Diceros bicornis minor: one gene and its partners. The protein of the gene in region 1 interacts with the protein of each later gene in a pairwise test. Links are inferred from orthologs where the notes say so. Each region holds a gene or a part of one and is shown on either strand. Other genes may lie near its edges. The genes, in order: TOLLIP, ODAM, TOM1L1 and TOM1L2.

Evidence for each region.
Region 2: the proteins of TOLLIP (region 1) and ODAM interact in a two-hybrid assay, tested with the Homo sapiens proteins (2 studies listed by BioGRID and IntAct). The two-hybrid records come from large-scale screens. The link is inferred for Diceros bicornis minor from reciprocal best matches to the Homo sapiens genes TOLLIP and ODAM.
Region 3: the proteins of TOLLIP (region 1) and TOM1L1 interact in binary tests that used the Homo sapiens proteins (3 or more experiments, as listed by UniProt). The link is inferred for Diceros bicornis minor from reciprocal best matches to the Homo sapiens genes TOLLIP and TOM1L1.
Region 4: the proteins of TOLLIP (region 1) and TOM1L2 interact in binary tests that used the Homo sapiens proteins (3 or more experiments, as listed by UniProt). The link is inferred for Diceros bicornis minor from reciprocal best matches to the Homo sapiens genes TOLLIP and TOM1L2.

What each region holds. Positions count from the first base shown.
Region 1 is NC_080770.1:702,308-709,406, forward strand, and holds the start of TOLLIP (toll-interacting protein), read left to right. Parts: upstream 1-4,090; 5' UTR 4,091-4,139; coding exon 4,140-4,172; intron 4,173-7,099. UniProt on the Homo sapiens protein: Component of the signaling pathway of IL-1 and Toll-like receptors. Inhibits cell activation by microbial products. Recruits IRAK1 to the IL-1 receptor complex. Inhibits IRAK1 phosphorylation and kinase activity.
Region 2 is NC_080747.1:56,692,480-56,700,218, reverse strand, and holds the start of ODAM (odontogenic ameloblast-associated protein), read right to left. Parts: upstream 3,020-7,739; 5' UTR 2,971-3,019; intron 1-2,970. UniProt on the Homo sapiens protein: Tooth-associated epithelia protein that probably plays a role in odontogenesis, the complex process that results in the initiation and generation of the tooth. May be incorporated in the enamel matrix at the end of mineralization process.
Region 3 is NC_080757.1:32,347,904-32,355,152, reverse strand, and holds the start of TOM1L1 (TOM1-like protein 1), read left to right. Parts: upstream 1-4,247; 5' UTR 4,248-4,338; coding exon 4,339-4,526; intron 4,527-5,653; coding exon 5,654-5,724; intron 5,725-6,308; coding exon 6,309-6,393; intron 6,394-7,249. UniProt on the Homo sapiens protein: Probable adapter protein involved in signaling pathways. Interacts with the SH2 and SH3 domains of various signaling proteins when it is phosphorylated. May promote FYN activation, possibly by disrupting intramolecular SH3-dependent interactions.
Region 4 is NC_080757.1:1,377,858-1,385,518, reverse strand, and holds the start of TOM1L2 (TOM1-like protein 2), read left to right. Parts: upstream 1-4,654; 5' UTR 4,655-4,718; coding exon 4,719-4,770; intron 4,771-7,661. Other genes in the region: DRC3 (dynein regulatory complex subunit 3), read right to left, coding at 113-272. UniProt on the Homo sapiens protein: Acts as a MYO6/Myosin VI adapter protein that targets myosin VI to endocytic structures. May also play a role in recruiting clathrin to endosomes. May regulate growth factor-induced mitogenic signaling.

The DNA of each region.
Region 1 (7,099 bases):
GCCATTTGAGCCTGGAGTTTTCTTTGTGGAAAGGTTTTTACCTTCTTTAATAGGTAAAGGACTATTCGGGTTATCAATTTCTTCGTGATTGAACTTTGCTAATTCGTGCCTTGCAAGGAATTTGTCTATTTCACTGCATTTCATTTCATTTAAGTGAAGCTGTTCATAACACTCCCTTGCTATTCTTTTAATATCTGTGGAATCTGTAGTGATGCCAACTTTCTCTCTCCTCGTATTGGTGATTTGTGTCTTCTTTTTTTCCTGATCAGTCTGCCCAGAGGTTTATCAATTGTATTGATCTTCTAAAAGAATGAGCTTTTGTTTTCAACAATTTTCTCTGTTCTTCTGTTTTTTATTTCACTGATTTCCTCAATGACCTTTCTTTCCTCCTTGTTTTCTGCTTACTTAGAATTTAATTTGCTCTTCTTTTGCTCGAGTCTACAAGATGATGGCTGATGTCAGTGACTTGAGGCTTTCCCTCTTGTCTAACACCGGCCTGGGGCCCCTACCTACTGCTTTGCTGCACCCCCACAAAACACGATGTGTCTTCAGTTCAAAAATATGGTCTTATTTTCCTTTTGGTTTCTTTGTTATATGGGTTATTTAGTTGTGTGTTATTTAGTTTCCAAATATTTTGGAGATTTCCCAGGCACCTTTATTATTGATTATTGATTTGTTGATCTTTATTACTGATTTCTAATTTAATTCCATTTTGGTCAGAGAACATACTTTGTACGATTTGAATCATTTTAGACTGTTTTTTGGCCCAGAATATGGTCTTTCTTGGTAAATGTTCAGTGTACACTTAAGAATGTGTATTCTGCTGTTATTGGATGGAGTTTTCTATAAATACCAATCAGGTCAAGTGGTTTATAGTGTTGTTCAGTCTTTTATACCCTGCTCAGTTTCTATTTGTTCTATCGACTGTTGAGAGAAGGGTGTTGAAATCTCCAACTACAGTCGTGTACTTGTCTGTTTCTCCTTGCAGTTCTGTCAGTTTTTGCTCCAAGTATTCCAGACGTATAAACTTTTAGGGTCTTTACGTCCATTTGATAGGTTTATCCCTGCGTCGCTGTAAGATGACCCCTTCATCTTGGCAGCGTTTGGGCAAAGCTTCGAGTATTCTACTCAGCGTCCCGTGGGTCATGTGCCTTTTTACTATGAGTGGTGGGAACGGGAGCTACCACTGGCCCTGTGTGGGCTAGTGGTATTACTTCTGTAATTCTTTCAAGGGGTTCTTTCCCCAGCCTTGGGCAGTTTTATCACTTTACGGTGTTCGCTGATCTGTGCTCAGCCGCAGGCTCCAGGGGGAGCCCCTGCGGACACCGTTGCCCTTTCTCTGTGCCACTCTCTCCCCTCTGGTACTCCGCCCCGCCAACGCTGCCTTCCAAGTCTCCTTGACGTCTCAGCCAAGCCTCGGCTCAGGGAGACCACTGGTCTTGGCCTCAGTTCCCCCTCCCTGCACAGCGGCCTGGAAACTCTCTCCTGGCTGTACACAGAGGAAGCCCTAGGGCTTACCTCATTTGTTTCCTGTCTCACAGGGACCGCTGACCTTCATTGCCGGATGTCCAGTGTCTTGAAAACGGCTGCTTAATATATTTTGTGTGGATTCGAATAACGTGTACAAGTTGTTCTGCAAACATCTACTTACTGTTTCTCCCCATTGCGTAGTATTCCACAGTGTATACCCATCGCACTTTATTTATTCATTCCTGCAAAGATGACTAATTAGACTACCAACTTCTGCTACACAAACAACCGTGCAACACACAGCCTTGACTGCGTTCCCTTGTGGATCAGTGTGAGGATGTTTCCAGCCTATCTCTCAGGAGAGAGCTCATGGAGCACATGTAGTTTGCTAAGCACGGCTGCATTGCTTCTTGGAGAGCCTCCTCCAGTCTGCAGGCCTACCAGCGACACAAGAGCTTCCCATCGCTTCAGTTCTCACCTAGACCTGATGTCCCACCCTTCCTAGTTTTTACTGTTCTGATGGATGAAAAGTGGTACCTAGTTGCTGTTTTATTTCTCTTATTCTTCACGAGTTCCAGCACCCCTTCATATACTTGTCAAGCATCTGGGCTTCCCCTCCTTGAACTGCCAATTTTCCTTTTTTTTTTTTTTCTCCTTTTCTCCCCAAAGCCCCAGTAGATAGTTGCACATCATAGTCGCACATCTGTCTAGTTGCTTTATGTGGGACGCCGCCTCAGCATGGCCGGACAAGCGGTGCGTCAGTGAGCGCCTGGGATCCGAACCTGGGCCGCCAGTAGCGGAACGCTCGCACTTAACCGCTAAGCCACGGGGCTGGCCCCTGAACTGCCAATTTTCAACATCAGTTCACTTTTCTGGTCTCCTTTTCCCTTGTGACGTATGGGAGGTGTTTATACACTGTAGACATTAATTGCTTGCTGGTGTTCATCTGTCTGTCATCCTTATCTATAACGCAGATAACAAAAGCATGGACTCCATAGCATTGTTGTGTAAATTAAATGAGATAACACAGGGCCCAGCCCCGTGGCCTAGCAGTTACGTGCTCTCGCTCTGCTTGGGCAGCCCGGGGGTTGCAGGTTCAGATCCTGGGCGCGCACCGACGTACCGCCTGTCACTCATGCCGTGGCAGTATCCCATATAAAGTAGAGGAAGATGGGCACAGATGTTAGCCCAGGGCCAGTCTTCCTCGGCAAAAAGAGGAGGATTGGCAACAGATGTTAGCTCAGGGCTGATCATCCTCACACACAATAAATAAATAAATAAATAAATAAATAAATGAGATAATACGTATAATGCACTTAGAACAATACCTACCACAGATGAAGCACTCAGAAATGTTATTTTATTATTTTCATTACTCAAAGAATCCCACGCAAAGCTGTGCAGAAAACCCGTCTGGGGCTCTTGGTACATTAGGATGTTCCACGAATGCCGAGGCCGACATGTGCCATTACGAGTTGGAGCCTGGACACAGGGGTAATTCTATGATCAGGCTTCTTAATAACTCTTATCTAGAAGGAGAGAAGACTGGAGGGAGGGTAAGGTGTAATTGGTAAGCAGCAGCTGGCCAATCAGCCAGGATAGGGAGGTGTTTGTCATTGGGCTTGGGCGGTGTTTGTCTTTTGTCTGTGTTCACACGATTACAGAGTGGTCGTGGTTTTCTACTGACAGTCACTTGTCTGATCTTGTGAAACTGCTCATGTTCAACAGCAGAACTCCAGGCCCAGCACAAGGGAGGCCTTTCTCCCCTCTTTCTCTGACTGAAAATAAGGAAGCCTCTACGGAGACTTGAAAGGAATTCCTTATCTCCTGCAGCTTGGGGGTAGATAGGGCTGAGGGCTGGGCAGAGAATAAGGGGACCGTGAAACGACGGTGGAGGAAGGAAGCTGGGATTATCAATTTAGGCCTCATCCCTGACACATACATGGAGAAGCAGCATATTCTAGAAATAGCACCCTATTTCTGCTTATGTCGGTAATTCCCCTAAGAAGCACCGTCGATGATCACGCTTCAGTTCTGCCGCGGGTGGGAGCCCGGCTTAGCTGGCCCGCCCGGTGTCCCCGGAACACGCAGGCCCTGCGTCTTCCGAGAACTGCAGCCCACACGCGCCCTGACTCCTGGTTTCTGAAACTTAAACGTAAACGCTGCTCCCGGAGAGGGTACAGGGAAAACCAGGGCTGGGGGTGACACGTGCCCCGGGTAGGAGCCACATCCACCCGCGGGCGCCAGTCCGCCCCTCGTGGTGTCGCCGCCCTCCTTCCCGGGGGCCTCCGGACGGTGGCCCTCCGCCCGGGGCCCGCCCCCTCAGGGCCGCAGACCCGTCGTCCCCAGGGCTGGGCTCCGCGAGCCGCCGGCCGACGACGGGCTCGGACCAGGCCCCTGACCCCGGGCGCGGGCGGCCGGCGGGCATGCGCAGACCGCCAGCTCAAGAGCCATTTCCCGGGGCCGCGGCTCGGGGCGAGCGACTGCGCAGGCGCCCGCCGGGAGCGCGCGTGCGTGCGTGCGTGCCGGAAAGGGCGTGCGGACGGCGCGGGGGCGGGGCCGACGTCAGCTGACTGTGGCGGCGGCGGCGGCGGCCTCGCGGGCGCAACCGTCGGCTCGGCGCCGTGGGTCGCGGGCGCGGCAGCTCTCGGCGGGGCCGGCGCAGCGCCATGGCGACCACCGTCAGCACGCAGCGCGGCCCGGTGAGCTCCGGGTGGGAGGCGGCCTGCGGCGGCGGGCGGGCTCGCGGCCTCCGGGGCGCACCGGGAGGCCGACTGCGGGCTCGGGGCGAGCGAGGGGAGGCGGCCGGGCCGAGTCGGTCCCCGTTGGAGGAGCCCCCACACCCCGGATGGAGGAGGCCCGCCCGCCAGGGTGGGTCCCCCCGTTAGAGAAGGTCCCCGCAACCTGGGCGGTCCCCGGATGGAGGAGGCCCTCCACCAGGGTGGGTCCCCCGATAGAAGAGGATCTCGCAGCCTGGGTGGGTACCCGGATGGACGAGGCCCCCTACCAGGGTGGGTCTCCCGTCGGAGAAGGTCCTCGCACCTCGGACGATCCCCGGATGGAGGAGGCCACCCACCAGGGTGGGTCCGCCAACAGAAGAGGATCTCGCACCCCGAGTGGGTCGCCTTGTAGAAAAGATCCGCGTACTCTGGGTGGGTCCCAGGATGGAGGAGGCCCCCTGCACCCCGGATAGTCCCCAGGTGGAGGAGGCCCCCCACAGGAGTCAGTCCCGCAGATGGAGGAGGCACGTTGCTCCTAGACTGTGCCCTTACAGAGGAGGACCTGAACCCCGATGGTCTCTTGGGTCCCCAGACGCCCTCTCTTCCTCCGGGCAGAATGAGGCTCAGAGGCCCAGCTGTGTCCCGGGTTAGTGGCCACTGCTCAAACCCTCAGCGTTTTCATTTGCAAATGAAAGGATGGGAGCCGAGAACCCGGGAGTGCCCTCTGACCCCCAGCTCTCTCATCCCGGGGCTTCCATGCGGCTCAGTGCTGACTGTGCCGTGGCAGGAGGACGGGTGTGGACCCGCTCAGCAGGCTCCGGGGGAGTGGCCCCCAGCAGCTCCTTCACACTGGGCTGGGTCGGGTTGTCATGAGCAGTGAGGTTCTTATCAACAGAGGCTCAAAACGTGCAGCAGAGGAACATTCTGGTCCTTTTGAGTAGGGAGAAAGGTTCTTCTGATGGACAGTATCAGCGCCCTCACTCGGGAGGTCCGGGTCACCAGCGCTCCTCACCCTCCCTCGAGGCCGGGTGTTGAGGATCCTGCTGTGTCTCTCCGGCTGGGGAGGAATCCGCGCCACAGGACGTTTCTCCTGAGTGTGCAGGAAGTCCCGGGTTTGGGAGGGGCCCCTCTGGGCCCAGACGCTCGTCCTGAGGGCTCTGAATTGGACCTGACCCACACTTCTTGTCGGGCTCGGTGTGGAAGCGTCCAGAGTCCTAGAGAGATTCCCGTCTCTCCGTCCTCACTCTGTCACGGGGAACTAGAGCAGGGACTGCCAGCAGCGTTTCCTTCTACACTGCAGGCTGCTCAGAGAAGCGAGGGCACTGAGCACGCAGCTCCCTCCTCAGCCCCGGGGAAGCCATGGGCCTAGTGGTCAGGCAGCCCCGCCCGGCCAGGCCTGTCACGTGTCCTCAGCCTCCTGGTCCGGGGCCTCGCTGGTGGGTGGGACTGGCTGAATCAACACGCCATGCGGGGCTCAGTGTCTGCACGAAGGGAGCACTCAGTAAAGGTCAGCTTGTCCTGTCCTGAGGGAGACCTCTGCTCTGTGACCGCCGTGAGAGTGTGGAGCGTCAGAGGGAGTCCCACCGGGGCCCCGTGCCGCCAGAGTGCTGACGGTCCATGTGTCTGGTGCTTCCCGGGTTTTCTGTTGCAGCGCCTCGTGTGGTCCATGTGCATTGGTGTGCAGCACACGTGGACCAGCGGGGGTTCTGGGGCGCCTCCGTGACCTGTCCACGGCAGTAACGCTGGGTCTGGGCCAGAGCTGCTGGGGGCTCCAGAAAGGTGTCCTCAGTGGCTGGGGTCTTGAGTGCCACTGGAGGACTTGTGACGTGCTCATTCTGCCAGTGGTCCTGATGAGTATATTGGGCAGTGCAGTCCTGTGAAGGACCGGGTGTGGTGCCTGCCGTCGGGTTCTTACAGCGTGGCACGGGAATGCCTAGCACCTGAAACACACGGATGAGCCATGCGGTGATGGGCACACCCAGGTCTGTGGATCTTAACTCGAGTTGGGCGTCAGCAGTGGCCTCCCCTGGGTGGGGGTCGGAGTGAGTAAGGTTCTTGGAGGGAGGAGCAGGAGTTGTGGGGTGGGTGGGAGAGGGGAGCACTGAAAGCAGAACTGGGCCGGTCTGGGAGATGGAGAGGGAGAGGCCTGCTTGACGAGCCGGGGTGTGGCGGGCTCTGGAAGGCGAGGAAGGGTCCTGAGTGGCAGTGCCTGTGCTGGTGTGTGAGGGAGCAGCCAGTGTGGCCCGGGTGCTGTTCTAGACGGCTGGCAAATGGATTTGGCCCTTGAGTGTTATCAGGTCACTACAGTGTAAATTGTTTTTCAAACGTTTTTGCCTGGCACACCCTCTTTACTTTCCACCTCTCCCGCCCAGCCTGCAACCCTCTCGTTAACCAGTACTTGTAAGGACCCTTCCCAGGTATTAGCATCTGGACAGCTCTTCCTTTTCCAGCGTGCTTTGGCTTGATACTGATTGAGCCCCCACTCTGCGTTGTGTGCTCGGTGCCAGCGAGGTTCAGGGATGAGCAGGGCGCTTGGCTTGTAAACAGGAAGACGCTGCGATCCCAGCTGGTGCTGGTGAAGGTGGCGCTTGGCAAGTGCTCACTGTGCTAGGTCCTGGCGGGCAGCACTCCTGTGTTAGCCCCGTGCCGTCCTTCGGGCCGGTCCCTGCCCGCACAGGTTGGCGTTCAGCCAGGGAGCCCGGAGCCTGGACTTAGGCTTGCTCCCTCAGGCGACTCTGAAGTCTGACCATTGCCCCCCGCTGGTGATAAAGCGGTGACAGGCAGAGCTCCTGGGAAGCTGGAGGAGGAAGGACAATCTGACAGGGCTGGGGAGATTCCTTTGTCCTTGAGCAGGGCGCCTGAGGGGGCTCTTGAGGTGGGCGTGATGAGGAAAAGTGGGAAACTAGCTA
Region 2 (7,739 bases), on another chromosome or scaffold:
GCAATGTAGTGGTATCCCTCGCAGTGAGAATGAGTTAAAATCTAGACATCATTTTTTTTTTAATGTGACAAACTTTTAGAATGTTAAATGCTAGAGGAAATTCGATGCCAACTCAGAAGCTTACAAAATAATCCCTCAATCCCTGTGACAACATTAGGAGGTGTATCCAGCTTCCGTAAGAATTCCATTAAGCAGGGCATAGATTAAGGTCATTTATGGCAACAAAGGACAAACTGACCCAAGACATACACCAGGGATTAAAGTTTAGTACATAGAAAATAAATGTGACAACAGAATCAATAAAGGTATTCACAGACAAGAATAGAGACATGTTGTTTACCAACCAGAGAAAAGCCAAAGGAAACAAAGACATGAGGAAAAGTCAAGAGAACTGAATTCATCCCAGATAAACCCAGTGGCTTATTCAGTGTCTCATGGCCAATGCTGATGTTTGGTTCACTAAAGCTTAAAAGGACAGACCAGAGGCCAGTCACCCGTGTACATACCCAAAGCCGTAACTGAATAGTATTTTTGTCAGTTGTTTATGTGGCTTGGCAATTTCAAGGGGCAGATTTTTTTTTTTTTCAATCCACGAGTTCTGCTTATCTCATGCTCACTGATGTGAGAATTTTCCCTCAAAGAGCGTGATTTCATTTTCATTAGGATTTTCAAACTCTGTTCAGATGCAGACTTTTAATGTTACAGTTTTGAGCTCTGTTTGAATGCTGTCTTTTTTTGAAAAGGAATGCTTAAACATTTACCTAAATGAGTAATTGCTAAGAATTTAGAACATTGAAGTTTAGAAATGGAAGTGCAGGCCACCCCCAGAAAGGAGAAATGATTGGAAGAGGTCACTCATATTGTTAAGGTATCTTTGGTGGGAATAGAATTGGAAGAGGGTGAGCTTATACTGGGGTAGAAGGGAAGAGGTTTATGAGGGTGGGGGCACTAAAGACTTTTGACCATTTTATAATTATTCCTGGAGATGGTATCATTGAAAATTGTCTTTTCTGTATTGTGATTTTCTTGATCCTTCAGATTGTTGAAGTTAAAGAACAAATCTCCTCAGATAAGCAAAATTTTATTCTAAATAGGCAAATAAATGCCAAGTTTTTATATTACTGTGTTTAGATTTGTAATTTGAGGTGTTTGGAGGTTTTACCGAGAATATCAGGGAAACAATTGAGATAATAATAATTGTCTGGGAAATTGATTTCTGCATATAAGGGAAAGGATTGAGAGCTTTTGGTCCACATAGAATAGGACTACTGAGTACTGTAAGTATTTGAAATCACATTGCACAAAGTTAAAGAGGTGGCTTGTATCTCTTCCCCATGTTACCCTCCTTCTAGAACTTAAAGTGTGAAAGTTGCTTTTGAAGATTTTTCTAGAGCTACCATTGGAGGCTTTGTTTTCTTTCTTCAGGAGGAATTTGTGATAGAAATAGAGCTTACAATGAAGCTGCAGGGATTGAAATTAGACAATATGAAGTATTTTTCATATTTTTTAATGTAAAAATTTCTTTGTACCTATGAACATTTAATAACATGATTGGAGGGAGATGAAAGGATTTGCAGACACCATACTTGAATCCCTTCTTCATGTGCATTGTCCTGCTTTACCATTGCATTTGTCAGAGCGAATCAACTCCTTTTCATAATTATTTGATGATTTTAGCCACGATTTTAACCTACTAATCACAGTTTCTCCTCTGTGCTTTGCTGTCAGGCACCACTCATTTATTTGTAGAAAGACTTTCATCTAATTTTATTGCACTTTTCCCCCCAGCTTTATTGAGGTAAGATTGACAAACAAAAAATATATATATTTAAAGTGTACAATGGGATGATTTGATATACATGTACACCGTGAAATGATTACCACAACTAAGCTAGTTAACATATCCATCAGCTTACACAGTTACAATTTTTTATGTGTGTGGTAAGAATACTTGAGATCTACTCTTTTAGCAAATTTCAAGTATACAAAACATTAGTATTAACTATAATCACTATGATGTGTATTAGATCTCCAGAATTTATCCTCTTATAACCGAAGGTTTGTACGCTTTGACCAACCTCTCTCCGTTACCCCTATCCCCCAGCCGCTGGTAACAACTATTCTACTCTCTGTTACTATGGGTTTGACCTTTTTAGATTCCACATATAAGTGAGATCATGAAGTGTTTGTCTTTCTGTATCTGGCTTATTTCATGTAGCATAATGTCCTCCACATTCATTTATGTTGTCACAAGTGGCAGGATTTCCTCCTTTATTAAGGTTAAATGGCCAATGGGTATATGTAAAGATGCTCGACACTGCTAATCATCAGGGAAATGCAAATCAAAACCACAATGAGATATCACTTCCTACCTATTAGGTTGGCTATTATCAAAAAGTCAAAACGTAACAAGTGTAGGCAAGGATATAGAGAAAAGGGAACATGTGTGCATTGTTGGTGGGAATGTAAATTGGTGCAGCCATTATGGAAAATAGTGTGAAGGTTTCTCAAAAAATTAAAAGTAGAACTGCTATATGGTCCAGCAATCCCACTTATGGGTATATATTCAAAGGAAACAAAATTAGTATCTTGAAGAGATATCTGCGCTCCTATGTTCATTGCAGCATTATTCACAGTAGTCAAGATATGGAAACAATCTAAGTGCTGATCAATGGATGAATGGATAATTTTACTGCAATTTAAAAATTAGCAATGGTCAGATTTTCACAAGAAACCATCATCTTTCACAATCATTTCAGGCCTTAATTATTGTTTTCATTTTGGGAAAGTTGTTATTTCCACTCTCCTTTGTTGTAGAAAGTTGAGGTACAATCAACCATAAGGGCAAAATGCTTGAAGTAAATGTAGTTAGTTGTGTGTGTGTGCATGCATGTATGCACACAAGACTGTTAGCAGAGTCAAACAGAGTAGGCCTTTCCAAAGATCTTTCTGTAAGTGATTCTGCCTTACCTGGATCCAGGGCCTATGACAATGATACCGCATAAGTTGTGTCCACTCTGGTAAGAAATTAAAGGATTATTTTAAGCAGAAGTGCTATAAAGCAGGGACTAGTATTTCTTCCTGTATTTTTTCTTCATAAGATTTTTTTTTTTTTTACTATCTATATTTTATTGCAAACTACTTGTCAATTGCCTGGGTGCACCTGTAGAATATAAGGTGCATGAGGAGAAGAACGTTGTCTTATCGTCATAGATAATTATCTTCAGCATCTCTATCATATGCATGACTTTTAATAGAAACTCAAAAATATTCATTGAATGAATGAATAAATATAGAATGAAGTGAAGATAACTTCCTGACTAGTGTATAAAAATCATTGAGATTTACTGCATTTTGCATACTGAATGACTCACATAACTTTAATAATTTTTTATTTATATCCCTCATATATGAGAACAAGAATCTGAAGAGGTATTCAATTAAAGCCTTCTCTCTGATTCATTGAGAAGAGCCAGAAAGTGTGTTCCTACACTAAGGTATATTATTAATGGAAGCTTAAATTTAGTTTGTGTCAAATGATTTTGAAATTCCCCAAAACTATCACAGCACCATGTCTTAGTTTTCTGGCACCAGTTTTATCTTCATTTTGAATTTTCATTTGTTTATTTTCTGCTTAGCTTCACTGTAATGTAATTTCAATGAGAGTAAGCTCCTTGCTATTTTTGTTCACACCTATGTTCCCAGCATCTAGAACAGTTCCTGGCACAAAGGAGATTGAAAAACTATTTGTTGAATGAATATCTTTGAAGCAATGCTCCAGGAGTAGCAAAGTAAGGTCTTATTCCTTAAGACATGTTACTTAGTATATGATTTGCTATTTTTGAATCTTTTATTTTGCAGAAGGAATTAGCTATATTTAAATGAATGGTAAATGTTGTGATACCATGTGTGATACACATATGGTAAAAAAAAAAAAAAAAAGACATAAAAGTTAGGCACGCCACACAAAAAGTAATGGTCTTGACTGCTATAGGTAAATTCTTGGGAAATAAAGTATAGCAATAAGTTACATGCTTGCAATAGAGATTTATTACTAAAGGTGAAGAAATTCAAATTCCAAAGTTATTACGGTTGTTATCCATTTCCGTTAGTGTACGTGATATAATCCACAGACACCAACGAAATAGAACCAAATTCTTGAGTAAAGAATATAGAGTAAGATTTGGATTTATTAGAAGAGATGCACAAATCAGTGTTCTAGCAGGGAGATGTTTCAGAGATCCATATCTAAAAATAAAAAAATATTTGGTGTTAGTAGGTCAAAACTTAAACTAAAATTTGTATTGATTTTATTTGATTGTCCTCTGAATTCTCTTCCTCTCACACACATACTCACCCTACTACATTACTATTAGACACAATGTTATTGTTGCAGAGAGGATAAATGCTTTATTTCTCCCCTTTACTTCCCAGACTTCCTTACAGGTAGGATGGAGCCACATGTCTAGTTCAGACCAAAGGACTGTGAGAAGTTATGTGTGCTATTCCTGGTTATGGCGATTAAGAATTGGTGTGCCCCCTCACTCTGTCTTCCCCTGACATTGGGACTGTGGAGGCCATGTGTTCTAGAGGTAGTGCAGGAAAGTCATATATCACACCTGCATCAGAATGTGGTGTGATGTGTGGAAGAAATAATCCAATAATCTGGGCCTTAGTTTTCTCATCAATAAAATGAGACAGCCAATACTAATGATCACTGATGAAATTCTATCTCAAGTGATAGTTCCAAAGAGAATGCCTGGGAAATAGTAGGAAATTAATGCTTGCTTTTGGGAATTTATATTTGCTGAATGGGAGAATGGCAATTTGGTCTTAAGATGTATCTGGAAGTGTGCTGAATCTGGAATTTGATCTTTATTTATGGACTAAAGAACTAGGACAGAATCAATATTCTTCCAGACTTACTGATATTTCTTATGGTTTTATTTATGTAGCAAAGTGATTCGTTGCAAGAGAAAATGCTCACTGGTTTTCTTTTAAATCTTGGAACAATAATGTTTATATTTACTACTTGCTTACTATGTATTACTTTATCTCGTATGACACTCATAACTCTGCTGGTCAATGCTAGTATCATTTTAATTTTACAGGTGAGGAAACCAAGGCACGCAGAAAGTCAACAATTTGCTTGGGCTATGCTCTTACTAAGTGTTGATCCTGGGATATGGACCGACTTGGTCAGACTCTAGCATCCTAGCTTCTATATTTTGTATCCAACAAATTCTGTTACCTGTCACAAGTATTTTGTCTGGGTTTAAATATTTTATTTATCAGAAAATCATTTCAGAGGAGATCTATTATATTCACACACAAATTTAAAGTTACCTTGTGTTCTTTAAAGGGATGTAAAAAATGGAGATCCATCATCTATCAGAAGATCAGGCAAATTTTCTTCTGAAGGTTGGTGTTCAAAATGATTGTAATTAAAGTCAAAGTCACTTAAATTCTAAGGATAAAATTGACAAATGAAAAAGAAAATGTCTGTGTTGGTGATGAGAACAGAATTCTGACTCAAGACTTGCTTATTTCAGTTCTGGGACAGAGTTTTGAATATATTCTTTCAATGCTTACTAGAGGTGTTTCTACCAGTTCTTTATGACATGAAGACATGCTAACATTCTTGATATAAGTTTGCCTGCCATATTCAGATGCCTCTACATATTCTATGGAGCAGTGGTTAGGCAGAATAAAAACTCCCACCTTATGCTTTCCCAGAAGTTGGCAGACGATGAAGACTGTGAATGAAGGAGGAATCCCTATGAAGAGAGAAATCCCCACCCCCAGAGAATCTTCAAACTCCTCTGATGCCTCTCCAGAATGTTCCCTGGCACCAGGTAGTCATATTATATCATAATGGTATGATTACAAAATATCCTTGGAATAGAAATTTCTTTTTTAAACAAGGACGTTCACTAATAATCCCTGTAACTGAAATGCAGAGTGTTCATACACTTGCTTTGGAAATTCTGTCTATTCTCTTTTATATCTCTTATTATATTTTCACAATAACTTCATAGTTTCATTTTAGGCTAAATAATCATTTTATAGAAGAGTATATTTCCTTGTCCAGATTTGAGTAAAGATGACATGACAGAAGACGCCCTACCACTGATCACCACAGCTGGTGTGGAGAAGTTCAGCACTTTAAAATATAATTAATGTATTTTCAAGCAAGATGTACCATTGGTCCATTACCCAGTTGTAAAAATAGATTGATTAATATTTCACTCAAGGAAAATCATCAAAATACATAGGATTTAGCATTCATGTTACCAGTTTATATCCTCTGATTCAAATTATAACACGTAAATCTGAGGAATTTATACATTATGCTCTTAGAACTCTATCAAAAGTGAAGGACTCTATTTTCTGAATTTATATTAAAAATTTAAAAGTTTATGAAGATAACATCAGTATTATATTAACTAAATTTTCTTGACAGTGACTGTAATTACACCAATTTTTGTAAAATGGTTTTTTGAGAGTTAAGAAATGGGTTGCTGCAAATGTGGCATTAGAAAACATAAAACATGGAGTTATATTTAAATGTAAGAATATTAAAGTACTACCTCTTCATTGAATGAATCATAGTTGCTTTGAATATTTCCCCACTAAAAACAAAGAAAAAAAATGGTTTACTTCATTTAGTTATTTTAATAATGTTTTTCTTTTTAGAATATTTGCTATTCGAATACAGTTACTTTATATTTAAAATGATTACAGAGTAAATTCTTCTTGGTATAATACTCATCTCTGAATTTCATAATTTTTCTAATTGTGTAGTCATTAAAAAAAGATTATCCATTTTGAAACTGATAGAAAATAGTATTTTCTCTTATAATTTTTAATTTCCATTTTGGGTTAAGATTTTTACCATACACACATATATATACACACGCACATAGATGTACATACACTACTGTATTTTATTGAGTACTCAAACTTTTAGCTGATAGCATACATAATTAAAAAAATGCTTTTAGGCCACCTGCAAAGGCCTTGAATAAGAATCATCAACTCAACAGGATCATATAGAAAATATAGTTTACATTTTACTCAGATATAATACATTATAATGTTGGTCTAGCATGACAAAGATTAATTAAAGTGAAAGTATTGGTCCATTCATCAATGTGGTTGAATCTCAACGATATAAACATTGAAAAAAGCCAGTTGCAGAATGATATACAACATATTACGTGTCGTTTATGTAAATTTTTAAAAATTCACAAAACTTTTTTACATATTTTAAGAGCCATGTATGTGCACACTACAATTACATGAACAAGCCAGGGAAGCATACACACAAACTTCAGAATGTTCTACATCTAGGATGGGGCAGAGGAGAATCAGATCCCTAGGGGAAGCTTCAGCAGGACTGATAACATTTTATCTCTTTTACTGCAAAGATCTCAAGTCAATATGGCAAGTTGCTTACATTTGTAAAATGTAAGTTGTGGGTAAATAGATTTTAGAAAATTATTTAAATATTCAGGTCAAAGCAATGTGTTCCTATTTTTAACTTACTGAATTTATAAATTAATATACAGTCTAACCATAGAAATGTTTTCTACTTAGAAATTTTTTAAAAGGCAATTGTAAAGATCTTTCTCAGATTCTTCTTTGACTTACTGTTCTTTGCATAAGCACACTCAAAATACAAATCAAAACTAGGAATTTCATTATGGGAGATTTCTGTGGGGAAAAACATTGACATA
Region 3 (7,249 bases), on another chromosome or scaffold:
GAAAGAGGAACAGGCACACTGCAGAACTGTGGGGAGATTTGGGTTTAGCAGGCTAGGGAGGGAAATGGAGCCAGGTAAAGATCATGAGAAAGTACAGTCAGAAAAAGGAACGTAGAATAGAGAAGTGCCCTGAAAGGGGAGGGGGGAAAGAAGGACGGTTAACTGGGGGGGCGAGGGGGGACATCCTATGCTAGACAGGGCAAAGAGGATGAGGCTGAGAAATGGCTGTTAGATTTGATGATCGTATTGCTATAGAAGTTAGTTTCCTAGTGGGACAGCTAGGGGAGAGAGAATGGGTGGTGTTTGGAACTGGAACCATGGAAAAAAAGAAAGATAAAGAGAGGGCTGGAGAAAATACTATGGGGAGGGTGGCAGAAGCATATTTAAATATTCAAATAGAGAGGAGGTGCCTATAGCAGGAAGAGTTGGGACTTAGGTTAAGCTATTGTGTTGTGTTCTCCTAGCCTGGAGCTGGATGGCCTTGGGCCAGTCACTTCCCTTCTCTGGCTGTCAATTTTTTCATCTACAGAACGCTGGGGATAGAGGTTATGTGAATTCTAAGCTCATGTCCAGATCTGACAATCTAAAAAATTTAGTGGTAAGAACAGAATCAAATGAGAGGATGAAAATGACTCTTAGGCACATAAATCCTGGTGCTGGGTCAACTTTGTATTCTAGACATGTGTACTTGCCATGTTCAGTCACCTCATTCTTCAGGCACCATCCTCTAGAACCCACTTTTTTTTTAAAGTGTGAACTGGTCAAGAGTACCACCTACTCCCTAGGGCTCTACCCATGAGAGGTGGCATAGTACACAGGTTAAAGTCACAGCTTCTGGAATCAGACAGTTCTTCACTAGCAAGGTGACTGTGTGAAAAATTATTTACTTTGGTTTTTCTAATCTGTAAAATAGAGTAATAATGGTACTGGTTTCATAGAGTTATTATGGGATTAAGTGACATAATGCATGTAATGTATTTAGAGCACACCCAGCATATAGTTCTAGTACAGAAAATATTAGCATTCTTTTTTTTTTGTGAGGAAGATCAACCCTGAGCTAACATCCCATGCCGATCCTCCTCTTTTTTGCTGAGGAAGATTGGCCCTGAGCTAACATCCACACTCATCTTCCTCTACTTTATATGGGACGCCGCCACATTGTGGCATGACAACCGGTGCGTCGGTGTGCCTGGGATCTGAACCCATGAACCCCGTGCTGCAGAAGCAGAGCGTGCACACCCAACCGCTTGCCCACCGGACCGGGCCAATACTAGCATTCTTGAATAAGTACAGAAAGAACAGCAGGATCATGTGCTAGCAAAATATATGACTGCCCCTACTCTTATCTTCTTTGAGAGGTCTCTCTTTGAATCAAACAGATCCTTAAACAAAATGAGATGTCATGCTCAATGAGCAGATTCACCTAGTAGCAATAATACAGGCTTTGGAATCAGGCAGCCATGATTCAATTCTAGCCAAGCTATGTATTAGCTTTATTTTTCTTAATCTCAAATTACATATTTGTAAAATTGAGGTGAATGCTACCTGCCTCCAGGATTGCGAAGACTACGTTGACAGATTTCCTGTTCTGGGCTCTTAGTGCATTTTTTTTTTCCTTGGGAAGTTTCCCTCTGAGCTAACATCTGTTGGCAATCTTCTTTCTTTCTTTTTTTTTTTCCTTCTCCTCAGTACATAGTTGTATATTCTAGTTGCAAGTCCTTCTAGTTCTTCTATGTGAGCCATGGCCACAGCATGGCTACTAACAAATAAGTGGTATGGTTCCGCGCCTGGGAACCGAACCTGGGCCGCCAAAGTGGAGTGCGCCAAACCTTAACTGCTAGGCCATCACGACTGGCTCTAGTGCGTTTTAAATAAAGGTTATTTTCTTTGCTTCCACCTAGCATTATGACTTACTTATAAATAAATGCTTAGGAAGTGTTTTGGGAATTGAAATTGTGAGATTTTGCTCCTGGTATCCAGAAATTAGAACCTTGTTTCTATTTGAGACTCTGCTCCTTCTCGGACCTTACCTTGGCTGTGAATTCTATCCTGCTCCCAGACCATATTAACATCGACTGAGTTGATTTTCACTTCTGAGGAGGAGAGGGATCATGGAGAAAGAGGCAGAGCACAGAAGGAGAAGGCTGCAACCACCACAACACCCTCGTGGGCATGTGGAGAGAAAAGCTTCTCCCCAGGCATGGCTGAGACAGAACACAGGTAGTACTCATCAACCTGGTTCTGTTTACCCGGCCTCAATGTCCTGAACACGCTCCCCGGTGCCATTTTGCACGTTCTCAGTGCCTCAATCCTGTAACACAAGAAAATAAAAAACCAAACCACCTTTCAAATAAGAAGTAGCAGAGTTGTGTTAGAAATCTGTCCAAATGGTTGGTTCCTTCCTAGTTCTCGTTTCCTGATGGAAGGCCACTGACAATAACAGTAACCTAGGCTAAAATTGACTCTATTTTTTTTTTTTTTACTTTCTCTTTAAGGTTGCTTAATCGTAGGGTCCAGAGAAGGTGAAATATTTTGCTACAGTCTATAACATGGAACAGAGATTAGGTTGGTGATGTCACAAAAGAGGTTTTCAACAGTGTCAGCAGAGGCTGGACTGATGACTAAGGAAGTTGATAAAATCTGAAATAGCTACTCAACCTGAATAAGTAGGTGGAGAATATGAGTTACAGGCAGGACCAATCCCATTATGAGAAATACCATGACAACAAAAATGTTTCATTCTAGATTTTAGATCCCAGCTCACTTAGGTCAAGAAAAATTTGAAATATACGTTTCCCCTGGTATGTGAAAGTTCGCTTTACGCCACTTCGATTTTTCGAAAGACCTAACATGAGTACCTGTTTTCGCTAACTGAAAGAAATCTGAAGAGCATTTTCACTTTAAGGAAAAAAGGTGAAAAGAGAAAATAGCGTCCAGGGTTTTATTTGCAGCCAGTTAATTATAGAGGCGGGTCGCACTCTTAGTAGCCAGAGTGGCGCCGCCAAGCTCCCTCCCCTGGAACTGCACTCAGCCTCGCAGCCTCAAGCCGCCACAGCTTTGAACTGTGTGAGCATCTGTGCTTTATCTCTATTTATCTTGGTAGGTTATTTTTTTGGTCTGGGAAGGTTCAAAAAATTTTCCCATATAAATGAATGCTAATTGCTCCTTCCTTTTATGTCTTTTCAGTTTACCAAAGCTTCCATGGGAATGCTATACTTTCAGATAGCGGGGGAAATCTGTAACCGAATTAGAGGGGGAAAAAAAAAGTTAGTCCCTTGGCATGCATTGCAATTGGTTTTTACTTCTATTTTAAAATATGTAAGACTAAGGACATAAATCAGACAAAGCCCCTTTGATCTCTCTCCTCATCACTTCCAGGGCCAAGGAAGGGCGTGTGGAACTGGGCCCAAGCTGACCACAGAATGCAAGATCTGGAGGCACAGGGAGGCCATTTTATGGCGAATTGCCATCACCTGGAGACACCCGTCTCTCTAGCAGGCTCCGGCGTCGCTGGAGATTAACATCGCTAATCAGACGTTAAATGAACGCACAGGAAAAGGAAATAAATTCCTCTTCTGAAAGGGCAGCTGGAAAGGGGCTGGACTGCTGAAGCTCGGATTTACATTCCAAAGCAGTGCTGAGGCCAAACACACTCCTGCCTGAGCAGAAGGAAAGCCTCTCTCCTCAGCATCGCTGGAGAACACAGCTCCCAGGAGGGAGGGTTAGGAACCGACAGCTTGCGCGGCGCCCTGTGGTCCCTCAGGAAACAGAGGCGAGACAAACGACGCCGGCTCCTGGGAAGTCCCTAATTTCGAAGCCAATCCCTCTTCCTATCCACCACCTGCAGCTTTAAAGGGCAAGGGACACACCTCCCCTCCTGGATCTCTGGGGCGAGGGTGGGGGTGTAAATATTTCTAGTTATTCCATTCAGTGGTTAAATATTTATTTTGTGCGTGTCAGACACTGACCTCAGCGTTTTACGCCCTTAATTCTCACAACAATCCTGAGATTTGTATTATTAATCCCATATTTCCTTCTCTACGAAGGAGAGCAAGGGGCGCAGAGAAGAGCAGCAATTGGCCCGTAAGCGGCGGGGTCAGAGCCCGGGTCTCTCATTCCCGGGCTGTGGCGCCGGGGCCGCCCGGCTCCGCGGGGGCGAGAAGCCCATCTGGGTCCGGAGCGACACCCCGTGGCCCGCCCGCGCGCCCCACCCGGAGTAGGGAGCGCCGCCTCCCCGCCAGTCCCGCGGGGCGCGAGGCAGGTGCGCGGCGCCCCGGAGCCCCGCCCCGCGGCCCCGTCCCCCGCCCGGTGCCCGGCGCCCCGCAGCGGCCAGGCGGGATGCGCAGCCTCGGCCCGAGCCCGGGACGCGCTCGGGCGAAGAGGAGGAGCCAGGGGCCCCGAGCGGGTGGAGTCGGGAGCCGGAGAGCGGTGGAGTCGGATTTCTTGGGCCCGGCTCTCTGGGGCTACCATGGCGTTTGGCAAGAGTCACCGGGATCCCTATGCGACCTCCGTGGGCCACCTCATAGGTAAGGAGGCACGAGGGGAGACGCCTGGATAGACTTTGGGGACTGGGGGACCCTTCCCGCTGGACTCCGTTCTCGCCCTGCGGAGGGCGGAGTTGGTCCAAGTTTGAGGACAATCCCTCCCCTCCCCCTGCAACTTTCCCAGGGCACTCGCATTCCACCCGGCCTCTGAGGCATTTCTTTATAGTCCACTCTTTCTAGAACCCGTCCTCAAAATCGCCCTTTTGATGTCTCCTGGGGAGTGGCCCGAACAGGTGACCCACGCACGGGATTCAGGTGCGGAGTGTTTGGGCCTCTCCAAGGAAAGAGCGTAGACTCGGCCAGGGGAATGGTGTTCATCAAGTGCGTTCACTCGAGGGCACGGTATTGTTCTGTCCGCTTTGCAGAGGGGGGAAGGAAAGCTCAAGGAGGTGAAGAAGTGATGTGACCTCACTGTGACAGGCAGGTCTCTCCAAACCAGTTCTCTCTGGCGCCGGGCCCTTACAACCTGAGTTAATCTGAGTAATGTACGCGGAAGCAGAAGCCAGTGACTGGGCAGTTTTCCCAGCACCAACTCCCGCCTCCCTCTTCTCCCTGATGCCTGCCTTGGGGACCCGGGTGTGGCACGCGCGCCTATCAATGCTAAGCAAAGCATGATAATGTCTGGAACTTAGTGGGGGTGAGGAAATGTGAGAACCTGGTAGTTCCAGTGAGGAGGCTCAGATTTGGAGTTTTGGTCGCACCTCGATTAACTGCTGTGTGACATGGAACTTGCCACTTATCCTGAACCTTCCCACATCTTTATAAAATGGTGAGAGTCACTATCTTTGAAGAGAGAATGCTTTCTAATGTTGCTGGATATATCCCTATTGAATATTAAAATAAACCCTGAGCAGAAATGGATTCAGACTGCATCATCGTAGGCTGATTAGTTCTTTAATGCTGTAAACATTTACTCACTGCCAGCTGTATACCTGGGACCTGGCGCAGGCAAAGGTAAGACCTGGTCTCAACCCTCAGGGAACACAGTCTTGTAAGGAAGATGGACACAGTTTTGTAGTGATAATATGGTATCTTTGCAATACAAGAAAAATGTAGAACACCCAAAATTTATGAAAATGGAGAAATTAACTCTGTCATGGCTTTTGAAGGGTGAATAGGAGTTTTCTAGGACGATGGAAAGGTGGGAGGAAGACCAAGGAATCAGGCAGAAGGAACAGCAGTATGTGCCTACACAGCACAAGGTTGGTTAGCTTTGTCCATTGGATGCCAAATTCAAATAGCTCCTTTTCTGGATGGGAAGCAGGCTAAGCTTTGGGATTCCCCCAACCGAACTTTTATTCTTGATCCCCCTTCATTATCCTTTTTCATTTTCTCTTCATTCCCCCAGGACCCCTTTTTTCATGTAGGAAAGATGTTAAACTCGTTTAGTTTGAGTGTTCTTTTACCCTTCCCAAACAGCATTTTGTATTCTTAAGGAGGATATCTGGAGAGGGAAAAACATCTGATTCTTTAATAATGGGGTTCCAGGAGGTTTAGCCGGCCTCGCTGGCCCTGCAGCCAGGTGTTGTGCCTGCAGTGTTTGTTAATAGGTCACCCATTACTGTTGCAACAGCGGCACCCTGAACTTGACTTCTGATTGATTCCTGAATTCTTGGGAATTGCTGAGAAAAAAAGCTCTTTGCCCTTTGGTAACATAAACTCAATGGTACTTGCTAGTGAACTGCAGGCAGATTATTCCAAGAAGACCAGACATTTCGTATTTTGTTGTAGCTCAGACTCAACATAACAGCTTATTCTTTGCAGAAAAGGCTACATTTGCTGGAGTTCAGACTGAAGATTGGGGTCAGTTCATGCACATCTGTGATATAATTAACACTGCCCACGATGGGTGAGTACAGTGTGTGGTTCGTGCCTTTGCCTCTGATAAGTAGCATCAGAACTACAGCGCATTTTCTCTTGCAAACTCTTTGGTTTTCTTGTTGAAAGTGTTTTCTTCACCCCTTAGGCACCCGCTGCCTTTTGAAGACATGTCAGCTTGAAATATTAGGACAGCTGTTTGTTTCAGCCTGTGGAATATCTGAGAATCCATTATAATTTTTCTCCTCTTTGCCTTTTCCTGAATAGTTTCAAGTTTTGTCTTTGTGAGCCTCAAATTCCTTGTTCTTTAAAGAGAGACAGATTGTTCTTTAGAAATTCCCCCTGCTCTGATTGCCAGTATTTTATGTTACTGTAACTGAGAAATATTGTCAAGGAGCTAGTGGACTCCTGGGGGTGACCTGTCTCTGGGCAATGGTCATTACTAACCAGGAAATAATCTACCAGTCTTTTTTCTCTCTCCCTGTCACAAGACAATTTTTTTCTTCCAAGTGCCAACTCACCCATGTTCATGCTGTATTCTTAAATGACATGCTATCTTTTATTATACTTTTTAAATTTTAGAGAATTAAAGTTTTAAAACTCATTAAGAAGGCCAACTATTTTGTGAATTTAGTCTGAATTACAGGTTGTTATAAGGGATACAATTCTGTTAATTTTCCTGTGCATATTAAAGTGATAAGTGATATGAGGGTGGGGGGTAGTCACAAGGGGTAAAGGAAGACATGTATATGGTGATCGACAAACAAAAATGTACAACCAAAATCTCACAATGTTATAAACTATTAAGACATAAATGAAAAGAAAAAGTGATAAGTGACAGCAAAACAGATTTAGTCTAGTTTATGTTGATGAAAAGCTTAATTATT
Region 4 (7,661 bases), on another chromosome or scaffold:
AAATTTTATCTTTTTATATGGACATTGTGTGGAATTCTGGGGCTCTGTAGAAGGTAGAGCAGAGAAAGCCGGGGCCCTGCTTGGTGCACCCACCCCACCCTGGGATACGCACTCTGGAAGTCCAGCTGCAGGGACAGGACATCCTTGAAGAGGATACCTTCCTGCTTGGCCAGCTGCCCAGCCTCGTCCTGTGGGCCCTGCTCCCCCACAGCCAGCTTAAGCATGTCGTCATCCATCACTCTCGGCTCCATCGAGTCGCACAGCCGGTTCATCTTCCCTGAAAAACACCACGTTCCTCTCCCACACTCCGCTTCTCCCTTTGTTGGAGGACCAGTTCTGGCTGAGGTCCTTGTAAGGTTGTGGAGCATCGTGGTGGCCAAAGACACTCTGAAATCCACCCTCCTCCCACTGGACCTAGGGGTTCATACATCTGCACGAAGGCTGCTCCAGGGCTTCCCCGGCAAACATCTGTACCCATCCTGCCTGGTGCCCATCCTCAGGGGTGCACCCCTTGGCCCCACAACCACAGCTGTGCCTCTACCCCAGAGAAGTGGACCGGTGTCCACACCGGTTTCTTGAGCCTCTGGAGCTCTGCTCCCTTACAGCCGGGGCCATCTCAGGCCTTTGGCTTTCTGTGCCCATCCTTGTTTGGGTTTCTTGGCACCAACCACTGATCATGACCCTTGGCAGCCCCAGCCAGGCATACCAGCCTGCAATGCCCCTTCTTTGAGAGCCTCATCCCTTCCAGGCAGTCATATGTGTACTCCCCACACACACATACCAGAAGCTGCCCAGTGCATAGGTGGATACTGACCCAAGCCGGCCATTCATGTCCTCCCACTGAGAAATTTGAGCTTGGGGCCAGAGGATGAGTGCCCATCAGAGCTGGCTGCTTGAGCTGGGGAGGAACTGGGGGACCGTGGACTGGCCAGGCACGTGGTTAAGCAGAGAGAGCAAGAGAGGGATGAGGCAGACAGAGAGAAGCAGAGATGGGATCCAGTAAAAAAAAAGACAAAAAGACAGACAGACTGACATAGAGACTGCCTTCTCCTTGCTAGCTTTCTGGCCCCTAATGTCCCTAATTCCAGGACCTGTGAGGGCTTCTTCCTCTCCTGTGAGAGTGTCCTGACTTCTCGCATTAAATCTTCTTTTACTTAAACTAACTCCAGTAGGTTTCTGTCGCTAACGGTCCAAGGGGATTTGGCTGAAATACCACAGGCAAAGGGGAAATCTGTGGACTTGTTCACTCACACTGTGAGGCTGACACTGGGCTGCTATTCCTGGCTGGACAAAGCCACAGCCCTGGGAAGCTGGGGTGCCTGACATCATTCTCATCACTAACCCTCTTAATGAGAACATCCAGAAGCGCTGGATGCTGCAGGAAGGCACCCTCTCCTATCAGTCTACTGGAAACTTCCAGATTCTGCCTCCTACACCCTGTGGAAACTAGGTCCTCCCTTCTGCTTTCCACCTCTGCTTCTCACTTCCCTGCCGGCTTCACCTTCTACCTTTGTCCAGGTGCATCCCCAATATCCTGGCCTCCCTGAACCTCCTGCCTTCTGGTCCCTGATGCTGGGCAGCCCCTGTGTTCTGCTCTTTATTCTACTGAGCGCTGTTGGAGAGACTCCTGGCGGTGGACTGATGGTGTCCACCGCAAACCCAGGTGGGCCTGGCAATCCTGCCACCTGGTCTTAGAGACTGCCACTGCCTGGCTGCCCTCCCTCCCTCCTCCCCCACCATCCACTTGGATGCAGCTTATGCACATATGCATCTTTCATTTCTGGACTGTCCACAATCAAATGTCCTAGTGCCTTTAACTCTTATGTGTCCTTTCTTTCTGTCCCCAGAGGAGGCACAGCCTCTCCTACCCACTACCTACACCCTCCTCCCTCCCCCCACACCCCTTTTCCACTTGTGCCTTCCATCTTCCCATTCTCTCCAATCTGTCAACACTGGCTCTATCTCCTTAGGGTGATTGATTCACCTCCTGAAGATGTTTCCAGTCCTCTGCCTCTCTCCATCTCCCTACTCTTCTGAAACAAATTTTTCCAAGATTTCCCATAGCTTGCCTTTGGGGAAATTTTACTGTGCTGCATTTGGCAGATGTTACCTGCAAAGTGTTTGTGTTTTTTTAAAGAAAGGTGCTGCACTTTGGGAAATGATTCTAAATTCTGATTTCAAAACTTTGACTTCTCATCCCTCCCACGTCGTCAAGGCCTGGCACCTGTGACAGATCAAGCTTGCCTTCAGTCAAGCCCGACAATGGCTATGCAACATGGAACAGCTGTTATGCACACAAGGGCAGGATTTGGATCCTGACTGTGCATCCTTTGGCAACTCACTTCACCTGTCTAAGCCCTCGATTTCCCATCTGTAAAAGATGAATAATTCCTCCTTCCTACATTTGTTTAAGATCATTTATTTAGTCCACACACGTAATGAATAGCTACTACATACTATGAATAAAACAGACAGATCTCCTTACCTCTGTTTCAGACATGAATCAGATAATCAAAGAAATGTTTAATTACAAACAGTGACAAGTTTGTAGGTGTAGGGAACTCTGACAGCATACATTAGGGGCACCTGGCCTGGCCGGAGGAGATGGGGCTGAGATCTGAAGGAGGAGTGGAAAGAAGAAAGGGAATCGCATAGTGAGGGCCCTGAGGTGGGAGAGAACAAGACATGTTCCACTTTGGCTGAAGCAACGCAAGGTTGAAAAGGTCGACAGGAGTTCAATTATTATCCTGGGACCCCTGGGAAGCTCCTGGGCCTTAATAAGAGCAGTGGCATGATCAGATTTTAATTTTAAGAAGCTCTCTCTGGCTGTAGTACTGAGAATGGCAAGAGTCGTGACGTGAGAGATGCCCAGGGTGGTTGGTGGTAAGATGTGGATTTGAGAGATCTCTAGGAACTTAATTTACATGCGGGACTGATCATCTGCAGTTTTCAGATAAGAAAATGGAAGCTAGTTAGAAAGGTTAAGTAACATGCACAAGTTTACACATGTATACGGCAGAGGCAGGAGAACATGACTCCAGAGCCCAATTTCTTAACCATGACTCAACTGTACCCAGGGTACTGTGGACTGTCACTGTCACAGCTCTAACATTGTCACAATGTTTCTCACAGCTGTTCTGGGTCAGGGCCAAGGCCCGAATTCTCTTCCCTTAAGAGGATTTTATCAGTAATTTACCACCCAATCTGGGTTCCTGTTGACTTGCCTGAGGACAGTGTTGTCACTGTAGATCAGAGGTTGGAGACGGGGAAGGCAGTGGAGAGTTTTACATCACTGTCAGTGGAGTAGCCTCCTCAGGAGAAACAGATCCAGAATTGTCCTGGGAAACAACCTGGGATTAATTGGATCTGAAAAATATAGCCCCTATTGGCGATGAATTAATAAGAAGAAAATCAACCATTTACTGAGTGCTTACTGGGTACTAAGTGCACATGTGTCATTTAATTACCTGTCAGCTCCGGACGCCATCAGAGAAGGGAGTCCTAATGCCCTAACTTCCCAGATGGGGAAACTGAGACCTGGAAGGGAAAGGAAATTGTCCACAGTCATACAAGGAACTACTGACAAGAGACAGACATGGAACTTGAGTATCCATATTCCCACCCAAAGCACTTTATACAGCACCAAGATGAAGAATAAAAATAAGAGAAATAATTTAACGACAGTTAAGAGGTCGGATATGAGGATTAAATTCTTGAAGAAGTTATCAGTGGATCTTTCTTTCGGGTACCTTTGTTTCTACGAAAGGGATCAGGCCAGGAGGCTGGGAGATGGAACCCCTTAAACATCTCTTCGAGCCCTGCTCCCCAAGGAAATGCTTCCTTAGCCTTTTTTTCTCATCCGCAGGCCTGAAAGCCCGGGTACTAGCGTTCTGACTGTCTCAGCGCCGCTGCAAAGTGGCTGGCAGGGGATCTGTGTGCTCATTTTGCAGATGATAAGGGCCGGCCGCACTTCTCGGAGTAAAAGGTCAGAGAATTACGTCGGGGCGCTGTCTGCCCCTGCGAGTCCTCCCGGAACCTCAGCTTCGGATCTCACCTTCTCAAGCGCGGGCTACCGGGCTGGTTCCACGCAGCAGCCACTTTGCCCGGTTGCTAGGGAAACCAAGCGCCACCACTCCGTTGCTAACGGGAAGTCAGAAGATTGACATCCTGAGTGAAAGTTGAGGGGGCACGTGACCACGTTTCTGGGCGGGGGAATACTCCTGCCACCAACCAGCCGGAGAGAAAACAAATGTTTCTCCAATCAGCACTTTCTACGGGCGGGGATATACTTAGCCCCGCCTCTTCCCCGCCCCCTATTTGAGTGATTGACTCGTCTGTTCTCCAATAATCATAAGGATTCCCTAGCTTGACCAATATATAAAGGAATCAAAGCGCACAAACTCTCGTTCGGAGGCGGGCCAGGGGCGGTGTCACTACGCCTGAGGGAGGTTCCTGTGACTGAGCTCACTCCTCCGCCCAATCGGACAGCGCGGGGTAGGTGGGGCTTCGCTCGGGAAGCCGTAGGGCCCAATCGGAGGAGGGCAGGGCAGGCGTTGCCCAATAGGGACGCGACAAGGGGGCGGGGTCAGGGGCCGCGCGTTCGGCGCTCTAGAGGGTGGGGCGGGGGCAAGTGTCAGTCAGGTCGGGAGCGCGGCGGGGTACAGCGGAGACCAGCCGGCTAACAGGGCTCTGGACGGCTGCCGTGCTGACCGCTCAAGATGGAGTTCCTCCTGGGCAACCCGTTCAGCACCCCGGTGGGGCAGTGCCTCGGTAAGGCCGCGCGAAGGGAGGGCGTCTGGTTGGGCGACGGCGGCGGCTGACAGGGCCGGAGAGGACCACGGGCCTCTGCGGGCACCGGGGCCACCTCCTGGTCGCCGGGCCCCTGCCCGCGGGCGGGCCGGGCCTGCTCACGGCGTCGGTGCCACCCTGCCAGGCGGCGCCCCGAGGCCAGCTGGGACTTGGAGATGCTCCGCGCGGCCCTCCCCCTCGGGGCCCGGCTCCCCCCGGCTCCTGGAGGTGGTGCCCGCGCTGTCGGCCTACCCCGCGCCTCCTGGGAGATGCCACTGCGTGCGCCCTTGTCCAGCCCGACAGTCTCGCTGCCACTGCCGCCGGGACCCGGTTCTCCCAGACGCCTCTCCCTGCATCCCTGCTCCTCCTTTTCAGACCAGCAGCCCGCGGACTGGGCACCCTCCCAGAGAACGCTCCCTGCCCTGAGACTTGCTAATTAGAGCTGCAACTCGGCTAGGCTAGGCCGTAGGAGGGACTGGGAAGGGGGAGGGGTTCCTAGAGGGTGACGATCTTGGCAGGGGGGCTGGCATGCCTGCACTGCCTCCGGGAAGAAGGGGGGCCGTGCTATTCAATGATAAGAGCCCTGGACTGGGAATCAGGAAGCCTGGGCTCCAGTGGAGCCTTTGCCAGTTATCCTCCCTATGACCTTGCCCTTTCTGGCTTCACGTTTTTCCTGTCTGTCAAATGAGGTGTTTGGAGGTGAGATGTGGTAGGTCCCTTCAAATGCTCAAGTTTTGATAGTCCTTGTAGCAACCTCTGCACATTGACTGTTGCTTTCTTGCTACATTAAATTTGCCAAAGATGAAATCTTTTGGTGGCAGTGTAGAGAGAGGGGTACTTGGCAGTACCTGTTAATCCTATAGGGGGCTCTGGGTCCCCGGAAGAGGGCACCAGAGATGACCAGTATCCTGGGTAAGGAAAGCCCAAGGCTAGTGAAGGGACACCTGTGTGGCCACCATATGAGATTTCCTTACTGAAAAAGCAACTTGCCTTTTCACCCAAGGCAGGAGCTTATGCCAAGTGCTCAGTCAAGAACGTTGATTAGTTTCTTTTAAAACTGAGTTCCTCCTGGTTTGTGGAGGGGCTGGTAAAAGGTCTTTTATCAGCAGGGAGCTTTGGTGTCCTTATGGGCCTGGCTGGTTTGGGCAGAAGTGACTTGTTTATTTTCTGCTTTACTTATGAATTTCCAGCTTATGTTTCAGCCTTGAGTGGGGCCTGTGAAATTACTGAGGTCTCTTCTGTTGGCTAGCTGGCATTTGGGAGCCTTTCTTTTCTCTGTGGTGAAACGTCTTTGGTAAGGGATGGTGGACACTGGGCTTGGGAAGAGTCTTTTCCCATCTCTGTGGACTACCTCCCGTGTTCCTCTAGGTTTTCACGCCCCTTTCTTCCTCATTTCCTTTCCTCAGGTGTTCGTTCACTGCAGCCATACTCCAAAAACTAATTTCTCAGTTGGGTGTTGAATTCCAACCAGTTTTTGGAGGGAGCCAGTAAGCTTGGGGGATTTTTTTTTTCTTTTCTGTCTCTTTTACAGTAGGAAGCTCTACACCTTTGAAATGCCAAGGTATTTGATGAGGGGTAGAAGTTAAAGGGGATTTAAAAATATACAAATATAAGGGATGTAGGGGAATGTAGTGAATGGAAAGAGCATGATGCTTCTGTCAGGAAGACCTGAGTTGAATCTTACCTTGTCCATTTGTTGGCTGTGTGACCCCAGAAGATTGTGTAACCCTTCTGAGCCTTAGTTTGCTGAGAGAGAGAGGTTGATAGGTACTCACAGAGTAGTGCGGCTTAAGTGAGATGATGCGTGTCAACTCTTACCACAGTGCCTGGAACACAGCTGAGGCTCAGTGAACTGGGGCTGTCACTGCTCACACAGAATCATGAAGTTAGGGCTGGATTTTCTCCCTGGAGAGGATATGAGGGACAGCTGGCCTGTCTGTGACCTGTGAAGGAAAATACCCTTCCAGGCCCCAGCATCCACCATCCCTTATAACAGACACTGGACCACAAAGGGAATGAAGCCTCCTCATTGCCACTTAGTCAGCAGGCAAGGCCTAGGTCATTTCACAGTCAGTTCAGTTCTGATCAATGATTAGAGGACAGAATGAGGTACTAATGTCTATTCTGTACTGTTGTGACAAAGTGTAAAAGTGGCTTTCTTGACATGTAGTATTGTTAGTATTCTTTTAAAAGTATGTGCTGGGGGTTGATGGGAGGGAGGGGCATACAGAAATAAAACAACCGCAGAGCTAATGATGAAATGCAGCAGTGATAGCTTACACACAGCAGTTCTACAGCCATTGTTTGCTCCTTACAGCTGCTCTGTGAAGTGGGTTTTATTGTCCTTCTCACTTTAGAGATGAGGAATCTGAGGCTCAAGGAGTGAAGGGATGGCTCAGCTGGTAAGAGGGAGAGCTGGGATTTCACAACTGTCCCGGTCCTCAAGGGCTTTCTGGTGTCAGGGGAGAGAAGAGAGGTGTATGGAACAATGACGACTAACAGAAGGCCACTCCGTAGCTCAGTGCTCAGTCGAGTGGTGGGGACTGTCAGTGCTGTTTGGAGTCCAAAGGAATTCAGAAGAGCCGGGGGGGTGGGATTGGCTTCCTTGAGTCCAAGGGCTGTTCATGAGGATGGGTGTGACTTCTCCAGTGAGAGAAGGAGACATCTATGCCTGGGGACAGGTAAAGGAGGCAGGAAGGGTGTGGGCACGTCTGTGAGCGCCAGTCTGAGGGGAACAGAGGTGGCTGTGGGCAACAGTGGCAGGTACGCTTTTGGCCCAGGGTGAAGCCCTGTTCTGGCTGGGTGACATCAAAGACGAGATTCTTTAGCTGACTTCAGCTTTTACTCTCCCTGAACCTTATTTTCCTCAAAAA